Cricetulus griseus: one gene and its partners. The main gene of each other region encodes a partner of the protein of the gene in region 4 in a complex. Links are inferred from orthologs where the notes say so. Each region holds a gene or a part of one and is shown on either strand. Other genes may lie near its edges. The genes, in order: Crnkl1, Bud13, Rbmx2, Snrpd1, Lsm5, Usp39 and pre-mRNA-processing factor 6.

What was found.
Region 1: Snrpd1 (region 4) and Crnkl1 share a complex: the UniProt entries of both Homo sapiens proteins name them as parts of the minor spliceosome. The link is inferred for Cricetulus griseus from reciprocal best matches to the Homo sapiens genes SNRPD1 and CRNKL1.
Region 2: Snrpd1 (region 4) and Bud13 share a complex: the UniProt entries of both Homo sapiens proteins name them as parts of the minor spliceosome. The link is inferred for Cricetulus griseus from reciprocal best matches to the Homo sapiens genes SNRPD1 and BUD13.
Region 3: Snrpd1 (region 4) and Rbmx2 share a complex: the UniProt entries of both Homo sapiens proteins name them as parts of the minor spliceosome. The link is inferred for Cricetulus griseus from reciprocal best matches to the Homo sapiens genes SNRPD1 and RBMX2.
Region 5: Snrpd1 (region 4) and Lsm5 share a complex: the UniProt entries of both Homo sapiens proteins name them as parts of the U4/U6-U5 tri-snRNP complex. The link is inferred for Cricetulus griseus from reciprocal best matches to the Homo sapiens genes SNRPD1 and LSM5.
Region 6: Snrpd1 (region 4) and Usp39 share a complex: the UniProt entries of both Homo sapiens proteins name them as parts of the U4/U6-U5 tri-snRNP complex. The link is inferred for Cricetulus griseus from reciprocal best matches to the Homo sapiens genes SNRPD1 and USP39.
Region 7: Snrpd1 (region 4) and pre-mRNA-processing factor 6 share a complex: the UniProt entries of both Homo sapiens proteins name them as parts of the U4/U6-U5 tri-snRNP complex. The link is inferred for Cricetulus griseus from reciprocal best matches to the Homo sapiens genes SNRPD1 and PRPF6.

What each region holds. Positions count from the first base shown.
Region 1 is NC_048599.1:33,089,296-33,092,795, reverse strand, and holds part of Crnkl1 (crooked neck-like protein 1), read right to left. Parts: coding exon 3,433-3,500; intron 2,996-3,432; coding exon 2,825-2,995; intron 1,616-2,824; coding exon 1,424-1,615; intron 748-1,423; coding exon 688-747; intron 1-687. UniProt on the Homo sapiens protein: Involved in pre-mRNA splicing process. As a component of the minor spliceosome, involved in the splicing of U12-type introns in pre-mRNAs.
Region 2 is NC_048597.1:158,020,970-158,025,267, forward strand, and holds the start of Bud13 (BUD13 homolog), read left to right. Parts: upstream 1-1,498; 5' UTR 1,499-1,613; coding exon 1,614-1,756; intron 1,757-4,158; coding exon 4,159-4,249; intron 4,250-4,298. UniProt on the Homo sapiens protein: Involved in pre-mRNA splicing as component of the activated spliceosome. As a component of the minor spliceosome, involved in the splicing of U12-type introns in pre-mRNAs.
Region 3 is NC_048604.1:20,788,813-20,792,134, forward strand, and holds part of Rbmx2 (RNA-binding motif protein, X-linked 2), read right to left. Parts: intron 1,143-3,322; coding exon 1,013-1,142; intron 1-1,012. UniProt on the Homo sapiens protein: Involved in pre-mRNA splicing as component of the activated spliceosome. As a component of the minor spliceosome, involved in the splicing of U12-type introns in pre-mRNAs.
Region 4 is NC_048595.1:225,869,094-225,873,131, forward strand, and holds the start of Snrpd1 (small nuclear ribonucleoprotein Sm D1), read right to left. Parts: upstream 2,801-4,038; 5' UTR 2,658-2,800; coding exon 2,644-2,657; intron 1-2,643. UniProt on the Homo sapiens protein: Plays a role in pre-mRNA splicing as a core component of the spliceosomal U1, U2, U4 and U5 small nuclear ribonucleoproteins (snRNPs), the building blocks of the spliceosome.
Region 5 is NC_048601.1:84,604,514-84,608,588, reverse strand, and holds the start of Lsm5 (U6 snRNA-associated Sm-like protein LSm5), read right to left. Parts: upstream 2,801-4,075; 5' UTR 2,725-2,800; coding exon 2,679-2,724; intron 1,760-2,678; coding exon 1,664-1,759; intron 1,386-1,663; coding exon 1,358-1,385; intron 436-1,357; coding exon 363-435; intron 1-362. UniProt on the Homo sapiens protein: Plays a role in pre-mRNA splicing as component of the U4/U6-U5 tri-snRNP complex that is involved in spliceosome assembly, and as component of the precatalytic spliceosome (spliceosome B complex).
Region 6 is NC_048601.1:64,050,706-64,052,934, forward strand, and holds the end of Usp39 (U4/U6.U5 tri-snRNP-associated protein 2), read right to left. Parts: intron 1,553-2,229; coding exon 1,466-1,552; intron 950-1,465; coding exon 902-949; 3' UTR 501-901; downstream 1-500.
Region 7 is NC_048599.1:257,795-261,294, reverse strand, and holds part of pre-mRNA-processing factor 6, read left to right. Parts: intron 1-373; coding exon 374-512; intron 513-2,473; coding exon 2,474-2,593; intron 2,594-3,066; coding exon 3,067-3,243; intron 3,244-3,500. UniProt on the Homo sapiens protein: Involved in pre-mRNA splicing as component of the U4/U6-U5 tri-snRNP complex, one of the building blocks of the spliceosome.

The DNA of each region.
Region 1 (3,500 bases), on a different chromosome or scaffold from region 4:
ATGAGGCTGGTGAAAGGGCTCAGTGAATGACAGTACCAGCTGTCAGGCTTGACCTTTGTGTTTAATCTCCAGGACCCACATGGTAGACAGAACCAACTCCCCAAGTTGTCTTCTGACCTCCACATGTATACTATGACAAATGCACAGCCAACCCCCCCCCCAATAAAAATGTAAAAAAATTTACAGACACACATACACCCATGACCTAGACAGAACTAACTGTATGATATCCTTCATGGCATGGCAGCCTCTACTGAGAATGTTTTGTGGACTGCAAGTTGGTAGAACATCCTATTTCTAAGAACAACTCACCACTTCTACAACAGAACTCTGTTTCTCTTGTTGGGAAATGAGGTAGAACAACATTTTAACATCTCCAAAGAAGCCACATATTCAACACACGCAAGCATGCACTATTATCAAAAGACCCATTTGGAGTCTCTTAGGTACATGCTCTGTTTTCTTTCTTCCAATCTGCCTCTCTGAATTACTTACACCCCCCCTCCTCGCCCCCCGGATTTCGACACAGTGTCTGCACTGCTTATCACAATACGGGCTGCTCTATGAACTAGGTAGTAAGGTGTTTCCTTTGGCAAAAACTTGTACTTTTTCTGATCTTGAAATTTTTCAACTGACACATATTATTTGACAAGTAATAAAAACGGGATTTTGTTCTAGCAAGTGTACCTTTTTGTGAGGGATTAGTTCCAAAGACGCTTGATAGACCTGTCTTGTCCTATCAGGATCCTGTATTAAGATTAAAATAATTTAAAAAAAATGTTAATACTTATTTTACTAGTTAATTTCATGACTACTAGTAGAAACAGACACCACCCCCACTTCTCAGGATGCTATTTTTACATCTGGATTTCATTTATGATCGAAAATAGCAACTACCTTTGATTATCAAACTTTGGTATAAGAATAACAATATGGCCATCAAAGTCTGAATTGTCTTTGTATAAAGGCCTGACAGCATAAAGAAAGATGTTACAGTCTCAGATTGACAGAGGGTAGTCTTTACCTGTTAACTTACACATAATCTATTTCTGAAAATGCCACTAGATTTTTTTTCTTTTTTTCTTTTGCCATTAGATTTTTATCAAAAGCAAAAATGTACAATCTGGCCATTATCCTTCTTTGTAAAAAAAAACACATTACTAGGAAACTGTATGTAATTAAACTGCTTCATTGATCATTGTTTCCCTTTCAAGTTTTAAATGCTATCTAATTGTGCCTTGAGGTTTTTAAAACAAAACAACATCATGGCTCAACAGGCACACAGTTTAAATGATGTACGTGGGTGGACAGAGTCCTAAAAGAATTTAAAACTAAGTTTACCTCAAAGGTTTTAACTATCAGTTACTATCCACAGCCATGACACTGGGGTAAGAAAGCCATTAGTGGCCAGTGCACAGTTCACCTTGGCTTCCAGCTCTTCATAGAGTGCATAGTTGATCCAGAGATAGATGTAGCGCTTCCAGTGCCTCTTCTCTGGGATGGGCGGCACATTGGCAATGGCTCTCTCATAGACTTCCCGCACAGTGTCAGCTTCTGCATCACTTTCCACCAAGCGCAGGTAATCAAACCATGCATCGTAATTGTGTGGATTAGCCTAGAAAAAAAACAGCTTAACCTATAAAATCAGAACCAAGAGCTAGACTTGACAGGCTGTCAGAACTTGCTGTACTTTAGCATTTTTTTTCTTTAGTTTTTACCTGTTATCTCATTTTTAGAACAGCATCCCTGAGATTGTATAGGACTGTAAGAGGACACTGGCTGGTACCTCTCAGTAAAGCCTCTTTCCTCTACTACTGGGTAATGACATTCCATTTTTTTTTTTCTTTTTTCTTTTTCTGAGACAGGGTCTCACTCCATAGCCTAGGCTGGACTTGAACTTATATTATCTTGCCTTGGCCAGTCCTGGGACTACAGGCTTGAGCCACTATATACAGCTTCCAGCTTGTATAAATGTTATTTTTTTACACATGTGACTATTTACCATTATGTTGATAATGAAATTACAATGGGTTTATATCAGACTCTCAACCAGGAAACACCTTTTCAAATAACAATAATTTATCCTGAACACATCTTACTGACCTACCACTTCATTTAACACCAGACTTGGCCCTTTGTTAGGAGCTACTTCAATCTGACTAAGCAAAAGCCACAAGAACCCAGAGAGAAAATATTGCTATCTAACCCTGAAATGACGTATTATGGAGATGAGAACAGAACTGTCTATTGTAGATCACTTGCTCTTGCAAAGCAGGTGTGTGTACGGGTCCGTCTTTGACCCTTACATTCTTTTCCAAAAATGAGTTCAAATAGATGACACATAGCTTTTGAGGCACAGATTCAATATGAAACCTATGTTAGCCTCAAGGTTTAACAATTTTTTCTGCCGCTGTCTCCCAAGAGATGGGATTACAAGTAGGACCCCATCCATCCTGCCCATTTGTTCAGTTCATTCACATTTCTTCAGTTTGCTATCAGTAAAAGGACTTTCCACAAGGGAATGACATCAGAGCCAGGGTGATAGTAAAAAAATCAAGGTTTTGGCTGCTTACATAGGAACTCCTGCCTTTTTTTTTTTTTTTTTTTTTTTTTTTTTTTTTGGTTTTTTGAGACAGGGTTTCTCTGTGTAGCTTTGGAGCCTATCCTGGCACTCGCTCTGGAGACCAGGCTGGCCTCGAACTCACAGAGATCCGCCTGCCTCTGCCTCCCGAGTGCTGGGATTAAAGGCGTGCACCACCAACGCCGGCTCAACTCAGTATTATGTGAGAGCACTGACAACATAGCCATCTACAGCAGCACCCACCTTCACTTCTTCTTCATACTGGAATCTTCGCTTGCTCACGATGATGTCTTCAATACCCCTCCGGTCACCAAACTTCTTCTCAAAGATGGTATAGTTTTTAAAGAGCTCTTGGGCCTCTTGTTTTGAAATTCTATCTAGGGCATATTTGTAGATAACTCGTACCCTTTCAAACTAAAAGCAGATAGGAAGATTATCATCCAAAACAATCTCATTTTAGTCACACCTTGAGAATAACTGCAACCTATTACTTATAAATTAAATTTTGAGGCCTTGATCAGAAAGGACTAATGCTTATTTTCAGTTCCATATTTAATGCTGTCTCAAAATTGTGCTTCTATTTTCTCCTCACCCATCCTGGATCCTTCCCAGGCTGGCAGGCAACACCGCCATGGCATACCTGCTCAACACCCAAAGCCCCACAAGTCTGCCTTGGTTCCTCTCCAGTCCTCCTTTCCTTCAACAAATTAAGGCAGTTACCATATATAATCACTCAGCTCCAATCTATAGCTCGTCAATACATGCACGAAGTTAGGTTTCTGTATCTAGAAAACATTTTTCTATGGATAAGTGAATAAAATAAAACAGAAATGAACTCAATGTACACTTACTTCTTTCTGATTTTCCTCAAATTTAGCAAAGGCCACATACAGGTGTTCGTCCATATGCTCATCTCCAA
Region 2 (4,298 bases), on a different chromosome or scaffold from region 4:
ACACTGGCTGTCCTACTGTATCACTCCCCACCTTTAATCCTGACACTCAGGCAGAGGCAGGCAGAGTTTCAGGCCAGCCAGGGCTATACAGAGAACCCCTGTCACAAAACAAACCCAATCTGGATAACCTCGTGCACTGTATTTGGCTGGCCTCTTCTAGAAAAGTCAGAATTCGGGAGTATGAGAATGAGTTTGCTCCTATATTCCTCTAAACTTATCACCTATAAAGAGGCTAATAAAACTGAAGGCTTGGCCGTGTTGGTATATAGTCCAGCTACTTGGGATGCTGAGGCAGAAGGATAACAAACTCAAGATCATCCTGGGCAACTTAGCAAGGTCATGTCTCCAAAATTCAGAAAGGGGTGGGGGAAGTAGTTCTGCTACAGAACTCTTCCTTATCATGTGCAAGGCCCTGGGTTCAATCCCCAGTGCTTGATGGAAGAAGAAACAGAATTGTGGGGGTCAAGTGAAGATTCACCAAACACTTAACCCCCTATAAGAAATAGAATCTTCCTGGCTTTCTTTTCTTTGCCACATTGACAACAATTCCTTGTCATTTTTATTGGGAAGATTGTATACCATTTTCTTGAGAGATAATACCAAACGTGGAAAGGTCAATACAGGTTTGATGAGACCAATCCACTTTTCAGTCACAATATTGGGGGTGGGATTTGTTTGACTTCCCCTAAATGGCACTGTTCCAGTATACTGTCTACCAAAAGGTATTTATACCAATAAAAATAACCGAAATAGTTCTACTGGTGGTTTATTGTGGGCAAAAGAGCTGGGGGTCATCAGTAGGTACACCAGCTGGGTCAATCCAGCTGTCTTCCCACACCTGATCGTGGTACTTCCTGGTTCTTCGTTTATAAGGTCACCTCCACCAAGTACATACAATTATTTATAAAGAGCTCCTCATCTCCTTGGTGCCCTAACTCTTAATGGGCTTGGGAGTCCTCTTCCTCCTGCTCTGGGTTGGCATCTACCTATGAGTCCTCAAGGGTATCCACCAGGCAGCTTCACCAAGTCCCTGCTTTTGTAAATTCTTTCTTCTTTCTTCTTCTTCTTCTTCTTCTTCTTCTTCTTCTTCTTCTTCTTCTTCTTCTTCTTCTTCTTCTTCTTCTTCTTCTTCTTCTTCTTCAATAATGATAATAATAACTGAAATAAACTAATTGTGCTAGGCATTTGGCACAACATCCGTTATTAAAATGCTATTCAATAACTTGCCCCCAGTGGCACAGTTACGATCGGTCTCGTATTCAAATAGGTGCTCTGATCTCCTGAGTTTCGGTTCTTCCCTACTCCGGTGCAGTCGTCAGGGCAGGACTAGTTAAGTCGGCCTGTGACCTCTTTGCTGGAACAGTCCCGGCTGAGAGCGTTGCACGGATGTGTCGTCACAGGAAAGCAGAACGGCCCTACGATGCATTCATGCACCTCCCCTTCCCCACACCGAGCCTGTAAAGACATTTTTTAAGAGTCATGACACCTATCAGCCCCAGTAGCTCCATAAGGGCCACTCCTAGGGCTTCCGTTTCTGGCTCCACCCCCATCCGTTTCCCGTAGAAGAATTTTTGTCCCCAACGCCGAGCCGTTGCCCCGCCCTCGCCGCTGCCATGGCGGCAGCTCTGCCGCTCTCCAAGGCTGAGTATCTGAAGCGTTACTTGTCTGGAGCAGATGCTGGCCCGGAAGGAGGTCCAGAGTCGGTTCGGAAGCGGCGCAGAAAACGGCCGAAGCCAGGAGGCGCCGGTGGCAAGGGGTGAGTGGACTGATGGGGCATCGCGCTGCCCCTTTGCGCCCTCGGCCGCAGCTCTTCCTCCTCCCCGCCCGCGCGGCGCTGCGAGCGCTGCCGACCCAGGCCCGGCCCCGCTGCTCCCGAGCCGGCTCTTCGCCGCCGCCTGCAGCTCAGACCTCGTCCTCTGAGCAGTGTCTTCCATGCGTTAAGGCCAGCTAGAACTTAGAACTTCCTTACTGTTTTCCCGCCTTTGTAGCCTTGTATCGTCCCTCGAACAGATTGAAAAGTCGTGCCCTGAGAGTAGTAGAACTAATTAAAAGCCCCAGTGATTGCGGTTTTTTTTTTTTAATGTTAGAATTCAAAAATCTGTTTCTGGGGCCTTCAAAGTATTAGGAACTGATCTGGAACCAAAGATCTAAGTCCTGTTATTCTTGCCTACTACTAACAGTAACAACTAATATGGGTACAGTTCCTATCATGTGCCTGGCCTCTTTCTAAAAACTTTGACCATATAACTTTCAGGACATTGTGGTGAAGTAGACATTGTTTTAAATAATATACTTTCCAGGTTCGAAAGAGGGATGTGCTGAGACAGATTTCGGATGCAGTGACTTGGCCACTGGAATCTGGAAAGGTTGGGATAGGAGATCCAACATCAGCCCACAGGACAAAAGAAATTATAGACTTTAGAGCAGCGACCCTAAGTTTAGCAGCTTGCTAAGAAGGTACTATTTTGGATACAAGGTCGAAACTCTGGAAGCTAATCCCGTTCTTATACACCATGCCTTGGGTCTGCTGCTTGCTAAGAGCTTAGCAGCTTAGAGAATATAAAGTGTGGTTCACACCCCTCTATGGGGGAACCATCGTGAGCTGACAGTATTATTCTCATATTTCTACTGAGAAAATTCTGTGGCCCATTGAAGTGGGTAGACTAATTCCCTAATTCCCTCTTTGCCCAAATTTACCTTCATTTGGGACTTCAGCATGACATCAATCTTTGTGGTGTTACTAGTTGAGCCTATATTCAGTTAAGGTATGTGGTAAATTCAGTGTGGTTCTTTTTTTTTTTTTTTTTTTTTAATTTTTCGAGACAGGGTTTCTCTGTGGCTTTTGGAGGCTGTCCTGGAACTAGCTCTTGTAGACCAGACTGGCCTCGAACTCACAGAGATCTGCCTGCCTCTGCCTCTGGAGTGCTGGGATTAAAGGTGTGTACCACCAACGCCCAGCTCAGTGTGGTTCTAAGAAGGAGCAATGCCATTCAGGGAACATGGTTTAAGCTTTGGAACAGCACTAACTGGAATCTGAATCCTAGCAGTGCTACTTTATAGCCTGGGTCATCTTGGGCAAGAGAGTTCACCTCTCTGAGACTCGGAGTCCTAGTGGTCCTGAACACTGCTGTTTGTCTGAAATGGCTGTTGTGATTAAAGATGTAGCATGTGTTCCTGGTTTTTCAAATACCTCTTTGCAGCACAGATCACATCCATTGGATGCCATCATCTTTCAGCAGTTGGTACACTGGTTACTCAAGTCCACAGGTACTTAAGTTCCTCCACACAATGATACAGTATTTGTGGGTAAACTATTCATATCCTCTTTAAATTGTCTCTAGGCTACTTACAAAACCCATTGCAACTTAGGTGGTGTACTGGCTGGATTTGTGTGTCAACTTGACATAAGCTAGAGTCATCAGAGGAAGGAGCCTCAACTGAGGAAATGCCTCCATGAGATCCAGCAGTTAGGCATTTTCTCATTTAGTGATCAATGTGGGAGGGCCCAGCCCATTGTGGGTGGTACCATCTCTGGGCTGGTGGTCCTGGTTCTATAAAAAGCAGGCTGAGCAAGCCATGGGGAACAAGCCAGTAAGTCGCACCCATCATGGTCTCTGCATTAGCTCCTGCCTCCAGGATCCTGCCTGTTTGAGTTCCTTCACTGATGAACAGCAATGTGGAAGTGTAAGCCACTTGGGAGGCAGAGGCAGGTGGATCTCTGAGTCCAAGGCCATCCTGGTCTATGGAGCAAGTTCCGGGATAGCCAGGGCTGTTATATAGAGAAAACCTGTCTTCAAAAACCAAAACCAAAAAACAAAAAGGTGGACAGTGATGGAGTGAACTGACAGTAGGAGTCCATATACACAAAGACTGAGCCATACTTTTGAACTTTAAAAGCCAAAAGGTGAGATGGCCCAATGCTTGCCAACGAGCCTGACAGGCTGAGTTCAATCCTCTGAACCCACATGGTGGAGGGAAACAACTGACTCCTGCAAGTTGTCCTCTGACTTCTATATGTATTCTATGACACACACACACACACACACCCCGTCACACATACACACACGATAAATAAATGCCAAAAAACAATAGGTAAGTGTACATAGGCCTGTGTCCCAGAATGAGTTCTTTTTTGAGGCTTTTATTGTTCTCATCTAGAATGCGGATTGTTGATGATGATGTGGGCTGGGCAGCTATTTCTACCACTAAGCCGGAAAAGGAAGAGGAAGAAGATGGAGATTTGCCTGTGGTATGTTATCTTTTGGAGTCTTGTCAGGACTTTGAAATGATCCAAGCAT
Region 3 (3,322 bases), on a different chromosome or scaffold from region 4:
TAACAAGAAAACATGTCCTAGAAAAGCATGAGGGCCAGAAACATGAAATCTAAAGCTGCTGTTTCAACAAAGGCAAAATAAGACCAAGGAAACAAAATGCTTTTGCTATGGTGGTATTGAATCAAGGGTCTCATAGAGAAGCATCTCTCACTGAGGATATTCCAAGTTTTACTTCCTTTTTTCTTGAGCTCTCATACCTTTCTCTACTCCTGTCAAACAGGACCTTTCTGTTCCAACTGAGTATTGGACTATAAGCTAGAGTTTCAAAGGTGAACAACAAAATGAAGCCTGTGTTTTATAAACAGTCTATTTTCAAATAGATACACTTCTCTCCAGGTAATAACATCTGAACCCTGAATTTCAATTTTACTGTTCCATTTCTAGAGTACATTTTTATGTGTACCTTTAAGCCTGAGAAGCTTTTGTCTATTTATCATTTTGATAAAAAAAATTTAAAAAGCAATTTTCCTTTGATGGTGACTTCTTCTGAAGACTACTCCTTTAAAATTTCAGAATGGCTTATTTTTATAGAATTAGTCACCAGATTTTAACTAAAGAATGTCCAGGAGCCAATATGTGAAGTCACTGGAATCATATGCTAGATATACATGGCTCTGTCTTAGCTCACAAAGCCATGATGAAGCCCCTGGTTCCCTAGCACAGCACAATATCCAAGAGCAGTGTTTCTAGTTTCTAATCCACTAGAACAGATGGAAAATGTGTATAAGAAAAACATCCCCCAGATAAGGGGGCACAGTACCCATGTTTCTGGAATGACAATTTGCTAACACATACGGAAAAGGAATAAGTCCTGGCAGATGCATAAGCCAGAAAATCGTTTCCTGGAATCATTGCCTATCCAGTGTGTCTAGGCACCTCTACAACCCCCACAATACATCCAGCTGACCAGTACTATTCCTACACCTGTAAACAGGAGACAAAAAAAAAAAAGAATGCCGCCTAACCCATACACAGGAAAAATCCAGTCAAATCCTGCATAGTAAGCAGTTACCTTAATTCCATTGAAATTGTCAACAGCCAGAACTGTGCTCCTCTGATCTTCGTAGCACAGGAAACAGAATCCCTTGGACTTGCCCGTCTTCTTGTCTCTCACAAGATTAATGTTGACAATCTCCCCATATCTGTTTAGTTTATAAAATGTATTATTCATTTAAAATGCAAACATTTTCATACTGAATGATCAATTCAAATAATCAGTATAGGAGAAATAGAACAAGATGATACAGCAGGTTGAAAACAGCCTAGTTTATATTTCGATTTTCAGGTCAGCCAGGGCTACAAAAAAGAAACAGAAACTTATTGGAGATTTTTAAGTTTAAAACAAAGCTTAAAGGAATAAGACCAGATGAATTAATATCAAATAACATAAAAGAAACAGAAATAAAAATAATTGCCAATAATCCACTAATGTCAGACTAGGAAACATATAGGTATTTTTGAAGTATATAACAAGATAAATTATTTTCAAGAATTCATAAAACAAATTAGATTCACTATTGGTAAGATCTCAAAATAAATATCAATAAGCACTAAAGTTTCTGGGGAAAAAAGACAGCTCAGAAGTTAAGAGCACCTCTGCTCTTGCAGAAAAAACAAATTTAGTTTCCAGCATTCAAGCCAGGTGTCTCACAACCTTTGTGTCTCTGGGGAAATCTGATGCCTCTGGATTGATTCTACAAGCATGAGTATGTACATGCACATACACACACACACACACACTCACACACAGACACAGAACTAAAAACAAATCTTTTTGAGGATCAATTAAAAATAAACTCTAAAAATCTACAGTATATACTCACCAATCAGTGTGATAAAACTAGAAATAATATTTTAAACAAATATTTAAATAATATTTTAAACAAAGCTTGCTACTGAAGCTAGAGAGATGACTCAATGTTTAAGGGCACTGTTTTGCTCTTCTAAAGGACCCAGGTTCACTTCCTAGCACCTACTTGGAGGCTCACAACCATCAGTAACTCCAATTCCAAAGCATCTGGCGTCCTCTTCTGTGCCTGGGCACTCATGTGGTACTGACAAACATACAAGCAAAATACCCATACAATAACATTTTTTTAAATATTTTTATAAAAACCTGCAGCTAACCAGAACTTGAAACCTATTCTCTTAGCTAATAGATGGATGAAAGAAAAATGAAACAAAATTTAAAAGGTCAATGGTATATCACTTAGCAACTAACAACAAATTTTAAAATGCCATGAAAATTTATAGGATGCAGCTAAGCCTCACTACTCAGGAAAATCTGTAACCTTGAAGAATTTGATTCTTTTAAAAGCATAAATATGAAATAAAACAAACCTAATAAACACAGACTTTAATAAAGATCAAATTGAATTTGAATTGAATACAAAAATTGAATACAAAAATAGTCTGCCTTACTTCTTTTAAAACCAATTCCAAATAAAGCTTTATAAGAGTCAGAAAATAAAACTATAATTGATACATAAGTTATATGAGTACATATAAATTATATGGTTACACATATACACACCAACCCCAAATCTAGTATCAAAATGCAAAAAGGTTAATGTGCTTCAAATAAGGTTGAGAACAATTTGACAATATATTGGAGGCATAGATAATGCAGTTAGATAAAACTAATATAAGAAATGAAAAAGTAAAAGTATCTGCAGATTATATACAAGAGTGTATATAGAAAATTGAACAGCATCAATGATAGACAATGACAAAAATAAACAGCATAACAATTCAGTAAAGTAACAAGACAGAAAGGTACAGGACAGCCAGGGCTGGACAGAAAAACCCTATATCAAAAAGGGAAAAAAAGGATTTGGGTAAATAGGCATTTCAGTGAGAGTGGATATTAGTAAAACCATTTCAGGGAACAATCCAGCAATGCTGATAAAAACCAGGCTAAATCTGTGTCTGTTTGGCCCAAGTTTTCAGTGCTCTGACCTAATCCTACAATGCCACACAGATAGGGCCCAGAGGGCCCTGTCATCATGGATGACCTCTAATTTATAGGAACCCAAATAGAGAGGTCAACACTGCACTTTCCTGGGAATTCCAGTTTGTTCTAATGCAAGTCCATGCTGAACAAGGTTCAGGAAAAACTTGACAGAAATGAACTAGGCTCCTTCAGAAAGCCTCTCAAATGATCTAAGCTCTGGGATCTCCCACATGCTAATGTTCTGAAACCTTATCTAGCCTGGGACTGATCAAAGCTCTAGCCTTCACCACACAGGGATGTCATTCAGACTGGAATTAAACTGGCTTTGGTGGCTTTTTGAGACAGGGTCTCACTCTGTAGTGCAGACTG
Region 4 (4,038 bases):
GTTCTGACTTCCTAGTCTGTAATTCACAATACCACAATTACATGCAGTGAAATAATTCTACAGCATCACCCATGCTTTATTTTAGCCAAATGGCCATGGAAAGATAATCCTACAATAGCATCTAACAACACTTCATATTCAGATTTTCTAGTCTATCTTTCTACAATATCCTTTGTAAACTACTACAGCAAACTGCACAAGTAATATTATCTGTTCCATTCTCACCACTATTCTACTATGAAGGAAAGCAGCAGGCCCTTTCTATAGGTGACACTGGACTACAACAAACACTCAGGGGATGGAGAGGTGGCTCAGAGGTTAAGAGCACTGGTTGCTTTTCCAGAGGTTCTGAGTTCAATTTCCAGCAACCACATGGTGGCTCACAATCATCTATAATGGGATCTGGTGCCTTCTTCTGACCTGCGGTTGGGAGTACACCGTGCACATAATAATAATAATAATAATAATAATAATAATAATAATAATAATAATAATAATAATAATAAAAAACCACCAGACAGGTCCAGCGTTTCAGCAACTTTTAAAGGAACCCACCTTAAAAAATTATGTTGCCGGGGGCTGGAGAGATGGCTCAGCAGTTAAGAGCACTGACTGTTCTTCCAGAGGTTCTGAGTTCAATTCCCAGCAACCACATGGTGGCTCACAACCACCTTGAATGAGATCTGGTGCCTCTGCTGGCATTCGGGCAGAAGACTGTATACATAATAAATAAATAAAAATCTTTAAAAAAAATTATATTGCCAAGTATGGGGGTGAAGATCTTTAATCCAGCACTCAGGAAGCAGAAATTCTTTCAGAAACAAGGGAGTGGGTGAGGAGATAACAGTCTGCTAAAAAAAATTCCCTTAAGACATGTAGGCACCGATCTGTAATCTCAGTTATTCAGTAGGCTGCAGTAGGATGATCCCAAATCTGAAGTCAGCCTGGGATATGGAGTGACTTCTAGACAACCTGGTGACATCCTGTCTCAATTTTTCAGTGAATCCTTCATTTTGTGAATTCTCTTACTTATTATTACCATTGCTGTTGTTGTTTGAGAAGTTTCTCTGTGTAGCCCTGGCTGGGTTCATATCAGTAACAGAGTGAGCACTTGCCTAGGACGCTAGCTGGAAGTCGAGGTAACACCCCAGGTACCACCACCCAAAAGCAAAGCTGTCGTAACAGAATCTTTAAATGGGAAAAACCTAAGTTACTGCAAACACATGATAGTTCACATCAGGCAGCAGGGAAACAGCAAGAGTATACTTTAAATTGTGAGACTTTCTACCTAATGTTACAGTCCAAATACAAAAGAACTGGAGCTATAGTCAAAGGTAGAGCGATTATTGGAAGCTCTCTAGGCGCTATCCCCAGAACAGGTGGAATTTTTTTTTTAACCTTATATGCTTTCTCTTCCAACTCCCCCTGAACAGAGTGTTTGTCATTTCAAACAGACCAGATGTTACCTGTTCTGCCTTCAGCATTAAACAGAAAAGAAAGAAATCTTGTAGCCCGACGGTGATGGGTCATGCCTTTAATCCCAACACTCCGGAGACAGAGGCAGTGTTATGATAAATGTTCGTGGGGGACCTTTGTGGATTCCATGGCAGGCAAGGATGACCCAGTCGAAAGGACATCATGCCAGGCAGTAGGACTTAAGTGAGAAGATTATTAGAAAAAAAGGGGGGTTAGAGACACAGAGACAGAGAGAGGACAGGAAAGACAAGAAAAGTCCTGTCTGCCCCAGGGGAACAGCAGGAAAGAGAGAGAGGGAAAAAAAAAAGCGGGTAAGAGAGCATAAGTGGACAGAGACCTTTCTTTTAAAGGGATGCTTTGCATCTGGGCTGACCAGGGTACTACTGTGTGAGTGCAGGGGCAGGCCAGCATAATGACTGAATCCTTTTCAGGCAGGCCTCTGAGTTCGAGGCCAGCATGGCGAGGTGCAGGACAGCCAGGGCTGTTACACAGAGAAACCTTGTCTCGAAAAACCACAAAGAAAAATCTCGTACCACTACTTTTAACAGGTGACTATAAGCAGTCCTTGACTCAACAAGAAACTAAATATTTCTAACTGGCTTAGGCATTAAACCCTGTTTCGGGCTCTGCCTAATGCCTATTTGGTTTGGAAGTATTCATACCAGCAAACAAAGCTCCACTAACCGACACAATCTGCAATCAGGCGAAATTAACTTAACTTCTGCCCCATCCTGGGACACTGTCGTGAGTCGAAAGCCAACATTAACCAGTTACATACAACCGATCCAAAATAAAGGAGAACTTTATCTAAAACGTCTAGCAGATCGGCGTCGTTGTTTGCAGATAAAACCATGCTGCTTTGGAGTTCTCGTCCGTGCAAGCAGCCCGACTGGCCAGGGAAAGCGGCCTCGGCTCCGTTCAAGCCGCAGGAAACGAGGCGAGCAGAAACCGCTCGGCTCCCCCATTCTTGGAAGACGCGCAGGGCCGGGGCGCGCCGGCTCCTCGCCGGCAGCAACGAGAAGGGCGCGGCGGGCCCGGACGCGGGGGCCGTTAGCAGGCCGCGCGCACGCGGCTTTCCCGCCTCCCTGAGGGCGCAGAGGCCCGGCTTCCTGAGCCCGCCCAAACCCTGTCCCCGCCGCCTTCGGCCCGCCCGGAGAGCCTCCTCACCTCACGAGCTTCATCCTAGCGGCGCAGCCTCCCTCTGGTCCTACTGGACACGGAATTCGAGCTCCAAAGACTCACCGACTAGGCGTATGAATGGCCGGAAGAGCGCACGGAGGCCTGCGGATCCGCGGTGGAAACGCGGAAGCCGCGCTGCCTTCCGGCCACCGGGACAACCACAGCGGCCCCTAGCGACGGGAGGAGTGCTTTGCGCCGTCTGAGCGCGGCGTGGCTGGTGGAAGACATCTGCAGGAGGATTCACCTTAAAACTATTTATAATGGCCTGGCGCTTTCACAGTTGGAAGGAAGAGAAGATCTGAGAGAACCCCTCCAAGACTTCTTTAATCCTTGGGGCCCACATGTTGGAAGCAGAGAACCGGCCCGACAAGTTTCTCCTAGTTGGTTTGACAACTAAGCTGAGCCAATCAGATTTTTGTATATAATAGTTTTCCTTTGGGGACTTGTAATAACCCCAGAGCTACTGAGAACCTTTTTAAAAACAGGAAAGCCATTCTCAGGACAGTTTTAAATAAGACCTTCATTATATAGTAAGTTCTTCGACTTAAAAAGTTATGTGGATATTTCAAATGAAGTTAAATAAAACAATTCAACTCCTTATTTGCAATAACCACATCGTAACTACTCAAAATCTATATGTATCATTGATTACAGTGCAGATAATTTCCACTATCCCAAGAAGATTGGATAATATTAGTTTATTATATTTGATTCTTACATGGAGCATGAATTCTAATTGTTCTTAATAAAGCCTCAGACTCGGCTGACAGGGGGTAAAAACTGAAGGGTCAGAGAAGCAGAACAGCCAGCCACTAGAGTTCTTACCTCTACCAATGTTCAGACCAAAGGGGCCATCCTGTCCTCAGACTGACTGCCTCCTCAGACTCCTGTCTCCTCCGGCTTCTCTCTGCCCAGCCACACCACTCCTGTCTCTACCTCCCTAGTGCTGGGATTAAAGTATTGGGATTAAATGTGTGAGCCACCACCATCTGGCTCTTTTTTCTCTTTTAAACTGGATCAATCTTATGTATCCCGGGGTATCCCAGATCTCACAGAGCTATGCTTGCCTCTGCCTCCTGAGTGCTGGGATTAAAGATGTGTGCCATCACTGCCTGGCATCTGTGGCTAACTAGTGTGGCCAGCTCTGCACTCTGATCTGCAGGCAAGCTTTGTTAGATCACAAACAAAATATCACCACACTTACAATTATTTATTTACTTATACTGAACTCAGGAGAACATAGTGTCTGAAAGCAAAAAAAAAAAAAATCTGTTTATTGCACTCTCCAACATCCGGTATCTCCAGTCTTATGCTTTAATATGATGTGCTCCTCCTCCCCCTCCCCCCTCTTCCTCCTCCTCCTCCTCTTCTTCTTCTTCCTCT
Region 5 (4,075 bases), on a different chromosome or scaffold from region 4:
ACTATCATACCACCTAAAACTCCCCATGTGCTCCTCATGGACCAAAGCCACCACTGTCTCTCCCCTATCCTTCAATTCCCATTTCCCAGATCATCAACATCTGCTAGTAATCCCAACATTAATTGATGCTTAAGAGTTTCAACAATGGTTCCTGATGAACTAAAGGTAATAAAGATTAATAAGCAAATGAATCTTAAGGCCCAATGCTCTTTCAATAGCTGCGTTGGGGCACTGATCACTGAAGGCTCCCTTCCCATCCTCAGCATGTCTAGACCGTGAACACTGAGCTAAGCAGCAGTGTTCTGTAATCCCTGCCCTATAAAAGTAATTAAATTCAAAATAAAACAGCTTTAATGTCTTACCATCGTTATATTATTTCCATTTAGTAAAATCTGATCTAATTTTGTAATCCTTCTTCCTTCTGGTGTAATTTCACTAAATAGATAAAAAATGGAGTCAGGATAAACAAGTATTCAAAGGCAATTATTTTGGAAACGCTTTTCCTCTCTAAAAATTATTCCTGGGGTAAAGAGGTTAGCTCGGTGGCAGAGCACCACCTGGGTGGCAGAGCACAAGGCCCTAGGTTCAATCCCTAGCATCAAAACTGTTATTCTTACATATGAATGAATGTGAACTCATACAATTACAATAATTTTCAGCAATACAGTCTGCCCACCAGATAATAGTTATGTAAATATAAAACTTCATAAATACAGAAGTAAATATAAAGATATATTACAAAGATATAATATAGAAGTAAATGTAAAGTCACTATAAAGCGTGTTTACACTAATTTCTTAGAAATTCAGGAATAATGACATTAAGATAATAATCTTCTGGCCCAACCTCACAAATACCGGTAAATAAGTCAGCATTAAAAGAATTCCAACAGGTAATACTTTATCCATCATACTAATCCTGCTATTGTAGTTTAAATGAAAATGGCCTCCACGGGCTCACGTTGACAGAACTGTTTGGGAATGGCTAGGAGGAGTGGCCTTGTCTGAGGTGTGTCACTGTGGCGGTGGGCTTTGAGGTTTCAAAAGAATAAATTATAACCAGTTGGCTCTCTGTTTGTCTCATGGTTATCTCAACATAGAATCACTTAGCTATTGCTCCAGCCCCACACCTGCCTGCCTGCCTGCCTGCCTCCACACACCTCACCATGAAAAAACGTGGACTCTAACCCTCTGAAACTGTAAGCAAGCCCACGCAGTAAACGCTCTCTTTTATAAACTGCCTTGGCCATGCTGTCTCTTCACAGTAACAGAAAAGGAACTAGGGTACCTGCCTTTAATTCAAAAAGATATTTCCTCCTCTCCTCCCCCATTTATTTGTCATTTTTAATACTACTCACAACTCTGTGACATCTTCCAACACCATATCTGAAATTTGTTGTTAAGAAAATAAACAAGGTTGAATTTATTCTGGTTTATGTTTTTGTTTGGTTGCAAAAATGTTCAACACAATGGTGCAAATTCAAAAGGTTTGTTGTTGGAGAGAACCCTATCTGCTTTCTGCAAGCACACCTCTTAAAATGTTACCAAGTTCCTGGAAAATAAATAATTTTTAATGTAATAAACAGAAATATGTCATCTGTCTACAGCTCTTATATTAATACATCTTTAAAAACCTGTTCCATGAACACTTTTTAAAAGGATACTGACAAAGTCATCAAATCCTAGAAGTGTACCAACAATTTCTTTATCACTCTTCATCACAATGTGAATTCTTGATCCTATACACTTGTCCACGAGCTCTGTGGAAAGAAAAAGATTGTTTTACCCACTTATTAGTTCAACAAGCATTCGAGTGCTCACTTTACTATTTCCGTATCATTAAAGAGAAACAAAAAGCAGTCACTAAATAACTACATCTTACACAAATCTCCGCTCAGCCATTAGCACAAATGTTTGTCTTGGCCTTCGCTTACCTCCTTTTTTGCTGCAACTAACGGGACTGTGATTTTGACTATTTGGTTAATGTATGAAAAACAATTACACCACAAGGTGGAAACCATGTTAGTTTTTCCTCATCAGTGTTTCTGCCGATGAACATACCCTGGAGTGGACCCTGCAAGAACTTTCCATCATTGCCACATTGACTAACTTCACCGGCGCCAAAACATGACAGAGGAGAGGCCTCACGACCGACACCAGCTTCCTGTCACTTCTCTCATCTTGCCTTTAGCTCTGTGCTTGGAGACCAACCTGAGCATCTCCGTGGCCAACCGAGAACTGCTCGGCACGAAGTCTTTCAGTGTGCTATCTGAAAGCAATGGCCGTAGTTTAAATTCGTTATTCAACAGTACCCTGGCACGGGGAGGGAACTGCTTGATGGATGGATGAATGAATGAATGAACGAACGAATGACGGAGCTAGTCTCCAGATTTCTTTCTAGGAGTCACTGTAGACCGTGGCGCCCTCCTCACACCGCCAAATGCAATACAGGGGCTCCCTAAGGTGTAGACCGGAAAGGCCACACTGCGAGCTGGGCCGGCACCGGGACATCTTAACCGGCGAGCTCACAAGCAAGGCCGAGGGCGTCCTTCACCAAGTGGGGCCCCCGCCGGCCGCCGACAGACAACGGGCTCGGTCTCCGCAGCGGCCCCAGGGGCAAGCCTCCGGCGCGGGCGTGGGGCCGCAGCAACCCGCCCGCGCCCCGGGCGAGACTTTTACCTAGCGGCAGGAGCTGAGACGGGTTGGTGGTCGCGTTAGCCGCCATGGCCACGCCGGAAGTGGCATAGGGCTACGGGCGCAGACTTTAAAAGAGCGCGCTTCCGCCCTTTCCCACAACTGGCTCAGACGGAACTAATCGGAGGCAGATCTGGCGATCGCGGGGTATCCAAATGGATCACCGACAGACTCGATAGAATAGTTCCGCACTATATCGGTGCCACCATCCCGTGCCCCCGAAGTTTTGCTAACTTGACAGTTTGTCTCCTCTATATCTGCCTGAAGACTACAACATACGAGATCTCTGAGTCGGCTAGTTTTCCTCTAAAAGGTTGGATCTTTCTTCAGAGCCATAAAATCAATGAGGATTTGCTATCACCAACTCGTTCTGCGTTTGTCTCAACTACTACTCATTTTCTTAAGGAATCCTGTACTTTTAAGCCTAGAGTACTGAAAACCCTTACGAAGCATCTTTTAAAAATATTCTATACCGAGTATTCAAAGGTTTTTTTTAATTTTTGCTACTTTATTTTATTCTGGTTTTTCGAGGCAGGGTTTCTCTGTATTGTTTTGGGGACTGTCCTGGAACTCGCTCTGGAGACCAGACTGGCTTCGAACTCACAGAGATCCGCCTGCCTCTGCCTCCCCAATGTTGGGATTAAAGGCGTGCACCACCAATGCCCGGCTTCTTCTTGTCCTTTTAGAAGTCTAGTTTATTGCAGGCTTTTGCAGTTACTAACACTTATTGATTTACAGGTAACTGCTAGATGTCACTCCGTATGTTGGTGTCATCACATTTGGAAAACATGCTATCACACTTGTGTTTTGGAAAAAGATAAAAAGCTGCTGTGAGGAGTGGCCAGCAATCCCAGCGCTTAAGAAACAGAAGGAGGCCACAGTTGCCAAGCATGGACAACTTAGTAAGACCCTGACACGAAATAGGAAATAAAAACTAATGAGAGCTTAACCACCTTGCTTAGCACTAGAGTGCTTTCCTAGCATTCATGACTTCATGAGACCTGGGTTGTCCCTACTTAAAAAGAAAAAAAAGCAGCAGGCAAATTCTTTAGCTTCGGTTGTCTCATTTGTGTCTGAGGGACTTAAACAATCTGAATAGGAGAGATCATAATCAACACCATTCATTTTTACAGTGTTTGGTAAGCACCCCTCATACACCGTTTAATTAGCAGCTCGCTGGGTATATAAAGCAATGTACAGAAAAGTCTTCTACAAGAGTGAGTGAGAAGAAGGACAAATAAATTGTATGTATATAGCACTATGAAGTTTAATAGATAAAGCAATGCCTCTAGGGATCCTTGGAAACTCCACTCCATTCTCAATTTCAAGCCAGTGGTGGCTTTTCCCCACAAACCCCATTCCATAAATCTCGTGTACCTACT
Region 6 (2,229 bases), on a different chromosome or scaffold from region 4:
AGGAGGGAGGGAGATAAAAGAAGGGGGGGAAGAAACAGGTTCAAAGAGATGCTGCTGTAATCACCTGCCTCCTGTGGCAGGGCTGCTTTCCCACATCTAAGGCCTGTTTCAGTGCTCCTGCCAAGGCTCAAATCCTCAAGGCTATTGAATCAATGAGTGGCCCAATTCCCTGGCCATTCACCCTCTACTTTGGGCTCCAAATCAGTCTGGCTGAGACTTGCTCTTTCTAGTCCTTTCATTTCTCAGCCCTCCAAAGCAGCACTACAGTCTGAAATCACCTGCTTTTAGCCTTCTAGTTAGGCACAACAATTTATCATTTTTAGCAAAATAGTTTGTTACTTAGAGACAAATGTACTCCAAATGACAAACCACCTACAAGCTGACAGGAAGAGACAAGAAAGGTGCCTACAAGACGACAGACTGCAGGGCAGATAGTCTACAAGTTAAAAAGGAAAATAAACCTCTTAGCAAGTCTAAATGAGGTACATAAAACAAGAGGCTGGCTTAAAAACAGGAGGATATTTAATCCATTCCAAAAGTCCCATGGGAGAGAAAGGAACTATAGGAAAACCATCTACCTATGATAGACAGAAGGATGCTGTTAGCTTCATGTTTATTCCTAGAATCTCAAGACGATGTTTCCAAGGAATTATCTGCTCTTTGATACTTGCAACAATTCAAGAAGGTATCCATCTGTAGGAGCTCTGCCTGCTGATGCTGAAAGGAAGGAGTATCATTTGTAATGTGCTGATCAGAGAACATCTGGAGACAGCACAGGACACCAGGGCAGACAGGATCTTTGATGGTGATGCAGCCAGACCAATAAAAACTGGGCTGGGGCAGGAATCTTCCAGTCAGTCCAGTATCTGTATTTAACATCTTCAGCCAACTCCCTTGGCATTCAAGCCCCCTGCTGGTTGGTTTCATCATTATCCCGCCTCTTCCAAATCTGTCAGAAATGGAAACAGTGAGCTCTTCAGTCAGTCAGTCAAGTAACTATTCTTTGTCAGGAAGCAGAGAGCACGCCACCCCACTGGTACACGTGCTGCATTCACCGAAAATGATGCATACTCTTCCAGAATATTCCCTTTCATTCATTTACATTTTTCCACTTACCCTCAACTTTTCTTCCATTCCTTTTTTAAAATTCTTTTTCAGATTTATTTATTATTTAATGTGTTTTGCCTGCACATATGTATGTATGTACCATGTGCATGCCTGGTGTGCACAAAGGTCAAAAGACAGCTTTAGATCTGCTGGGACTAGAGTTACAGATCTCTGCTAAACTCACAAGGTCACAAACACACTTTGCTCACTTGCTGACTGACAGGCTTCTATACTTTTCCTTTCTGATAATCTGATTGCCTTCTGGGGCCACATAATCTGGTCCCCTCACACTCTTGAAGCACCCAGGCCTGTGAGCAAGACTACATCAATCCCACTTCCTACCTTGGCCCACACCCACCTGAATGTATGCCTCGGACAATGTGATCATCTGGGGCAGGATGTCAGTCACCTGAAGGTCTTGTAATTCATACCACTTGCCGGTGCCCTGCACAAAGACAAGGGTTCGGTTAACCTGCTCTCCAAAACCAGAGGTATAAAGACTTCACAGCGAGAGTCACAAGTATCAGATGGCTACTAAATATCAACAAGAGCCATAACCTTGGCTAGACCGAGTGAATAGTTCTGGCAACCTCAATTCCTGTCAAGGAGTCTTTGAAATAAAATAAGTCCCAAACAATCTGCTTTCTTCTTTGCCCTTTCTCCTCTTTCTCTCTCCCCCCCTCGCTCCTTGTGTGTAGGGATGTCCCCCACAAAGCCCAGTCTAACATCACACTTTCTCTTTAATCAAGGAAGGCCTTGAACTTCTGATTCTCCTGCTTCTACCTCAAGAGTGCTGGCATTACAGGTGTATGGCACCACACCCAATTCATTCAGTGTCTGGAATCAAACCTAAGGTTTTGTACAAGCTGGACACCCTATCACTTGAGCTAAATCCCCAAGACCCTCTTCTATACTTTTAAAGGGGAATTTATGTGGCCTCTCAAGAGGAAAAAGAGAAGTCCTTCCAGTCTCAAATGTTTTTTTTTTTTTCCTGTCAGAAATGCTAAATTAGACAAACCCTGTAGAAAGTACATGAAGCTGGCTGCTAAAAACCTCGAAGTGGGCCAGGTGGTAGTGGCACACACCTTTAGTCCCAGCACTCAGGAAACAGAGGCAAGAGGA
Region 7 (3,500 bases), on a different chromosome or scaffold from region 4:
GTTTTGTTTGGGGGAGGGGGTTATGGGTGCCAGGGACCTTAATCTTTATCAATGAATCCAGGGTGTCCTCTGTGCTTCAAGATAAAAGGGCCTTCATTGTCACCAGACTGCCATGTTATCACTGCCCCCAGGATACATGGCTGTAAAAGGCTTTGCTGTTTAAACAATGCTTTGCTTTATAGAGTCCTCTTCAGTAGTTGATTTTAGATTCTTTATGGGAAAGAAAGATTTCCCTACACTCTCCCCATCGTAAAATCTCGTAAATCATTAATAGTACCGAACTTTGGAGTGGTAGCTGTCTTTTCAGCATCTAGATGGCTGTGTGCTCTGATTTATGGCCCTGACCCTAGTGACTATGGCCTTTCTCTTGCAGGGAGTCTCTGGAAGCACTCCTGCAGAGGGCTGTGGCCCACTGCCCCAAGGCAGAGGTGCTGTGGCTCATGGGTGCCAAATCCAAGTGGCTGGCAGGGGATGTGCCTGCAGCAAGGAGCATCTTGGCCCTGGCCTTCCAGGTAGGTAAAGGATGCCTGTATTGGAAGGGGCCATGAACACAAACTCAGTGTTAGTGCTACTGTGGCCTTAGAGCTTACCTTGTGCATATTCTTTGGGATATGTCATGATCTAGTCTAGAGACACTGGATTGTGTGGGTGGCCTTGTCTATGAGGCCTAAGCATGAGGAACATTGCAACCAGCCACACTGGCCTCAGTTCCCTTCTATTTCATATGACTATAGGCCAGGTACTCCAGAGTACAAGACCACAATGTAAGCTGCCTGGGTGCTTAATGCCTTTGTGAGAGTGCTGTCCTACTAAAACAGATATACTTACTGGCCTAATGAGGCCTAGCTGTTACGATACATACAATGTTACTAAAACAGATATACTTACTGGCCTGCTGAGGCCTAGCTGTTACAATACATGCAATGTTACTAAAACAGATACACTTACTGGCCTAATGAGGCTTAGCTGTTACAATACATACAATGTTACTAAAACAGATAGACTTACTGGCCTAATGAGGCCTAGCTGTTACAATACATACAATGTGTGTGTGTATAAGCTAGAGGTCAACCTAGAGTGTCTTCCTATATCACTGTCTACTTTTTTTTTTTTTCCTCCTAGACAGGGCTTTTCTGTGTCTTGGCTATCTGTATCTCATTCTGTAAACTGTCTGATCTCGAACTCCCTCTGCCTCTGCCTCTGCCTCCTGAGTGCAGGGCTGCCTAACACACCCTGAGGGGTTTTTTTGTTTTTGTTTTTTTGGGTTTGTTTTTTGTTGTTGTTGTTGTTGTTTTGGGGACAAGATCTTTCAATGAACCTGGAGCTTACAGCTTTGGTTCACCTGGTTACCAATTAGTCTTTAGAATTCATCTGACTACACCCTCTAGTACTGGGGTTACAGATGTGCATTGCCATGCCTGGCTTTTATGTGGGTGTCCAGTAAGCACTTTACACACTAAGCCATCTCCTTAACCTACATGTAACATTTAAATTTTTTTACAACAAAAAATGATCCTAATATTTTTTTAGAAGCATGTGCTATCCTCCTGTGTCTGTGTCTTTTTTTAAAAGATTTTATTTATTTATTATATATACAACATTCCGATTCCATGTATATCTGCACATCAGAAGAGGGCACCAGATCTCATAAGGGATGGTTGTCAGCCACCATGTGGTTGCTGGGAATTGAACCAGTCTAGTATCATAGCCCAGGGCAACAGTAAAGTTTGTCTGTTGTAAATAAGCACCAGAAGAGCTAACTTGCGTCAGTACAGCTGTTATCCGAAGAGACTATAGGAATAGGTGATAGTGCTGTGCCAGATAAGTGATGTCCTTTCTACATACAGTTTTCTCCTCAAGTTGTGTGCTAGAATTTTAAGGTGGTTCACTTTTACCATAACCATAGACACCATGGCCATGTTGCAGAAGTCTTTAAGGAGGGTAGGTACACATTATGAGGCACTACTTTTATGTCCCCTGGACTCTTAAGTTTGTATAGCTTGGTCCATGCCTGTGGGAACCCTTTACACTTCATTATCTCACCTTGATCTACCCTGACCACATGGGCTACCTGAGGGGAAGGGATGAAGTTAGATGTAGCAGATTCTGATGCAAAGATGTGAGTGAGCCAATCATAGTTTTGAAAGGCCGTGCAGAATTTAGATGCATCCTAGAGAGGGTGGCTCTACAATACTAGTATTGTTGCTTCATCTCTGTACAAGAGTAAAAGAGAGAGAGAGAGAGAGAGAGAGAGAGAGAGAGTGTGTGTGTGTGTGTGTGTGTGTGTGTGTGTGTGTGTGTGTTTCCCCCCCAAGCTGAGATCTACATTTCCTAGCTTGTGCAGAAGCATACTAGTCCTGTATCAGAGTGAGGTTCAGTTCACTTCTCAGACTGCCTGTTCTTAATTAAGTGTGGTCTAGCCCTGGTCACTTTTGTTTTGAGCCTTTTTGATGCAGCTGTGCTTATTCTCCAGGCCAACCCCAACAGTGAAGAGATTTGGCTGGCGGCTGTAAAGCTGGAGTCCGAGAACAATGAATACGAGCGAGCCCGGAGGCTGCTGGCCAAGGCACGGAGCAGCGCACCCACTGCCCGTGTGAGTGGTGGCTGGTGGGTGGGGCAGTATTGGCAGAGTGCCTCTTGGCTCATACATGGCATTGGGAAGGAGTGAGATGAGTAGGACAGCTCATGCCACAGCCCAATCGTGTTATTGGGCTTTAAAATGCATTTCTTTAGCTGGGCGGTGGTGGCTTATACCTTAAATTCCAGCACTTGGGAGGCAGGGGCAGGTGAATCTCTGTGAGTTCAAGTCCAGCCTGGTATACAGGGCAACATAGAGAAACTGTCTTGAAAAACCAAAAAAAAAAAAAAAAAAAAAAAAAAGGCATTCCTTTATTTATCTATACCTCTTGTATATACAAAAGAGCTACATACAACAACTTATGAGGTACAGGACAGATGTGTGTGAACGATGTCTATGATGTCATGTGTGTGATATGAAGGTAGTTAGCATCCAGATAGATGGTAGAAGTAACAACTCTGGTGTGATGGTGCTTGTCTGCTTTACAGGTATTCATGAAATCTGTGAAGCTGGAGTGGGTGTTGGGGAACATCACTGCTGCCCAGGAGTTATGTGAGGAGGCTCTGAGGCACTATGAAGACTTCCCCAAGCTGTGGATGATGAAGGGGCAGATTGAGGAGCAGGGGGAACTGATGGAGAAGGCCCGAGAGGCCTATAATCAAGGGGTGAGCCTCTATTAAGATGTCTTAGGGGCCAGGAGATGGTAGAGCACACCTTTAATCCCAGCACTCAGGAGGCAGAGGCAGGCACATCTCTGTGAGTTCTAGTCCAGCCTGCTCTACAAAGTGAGTTGCAGTGCAGCTGGAGCTACACAGAGAAACCCTGTCTTAGTGGGGTGGAGGGGGAAAGATGTCTCAAGGAATAGCATGACATTGGTCAATTTCCCATGCTTTTGAAAGAAGTGGAGGGCCAGTGGTCTGTG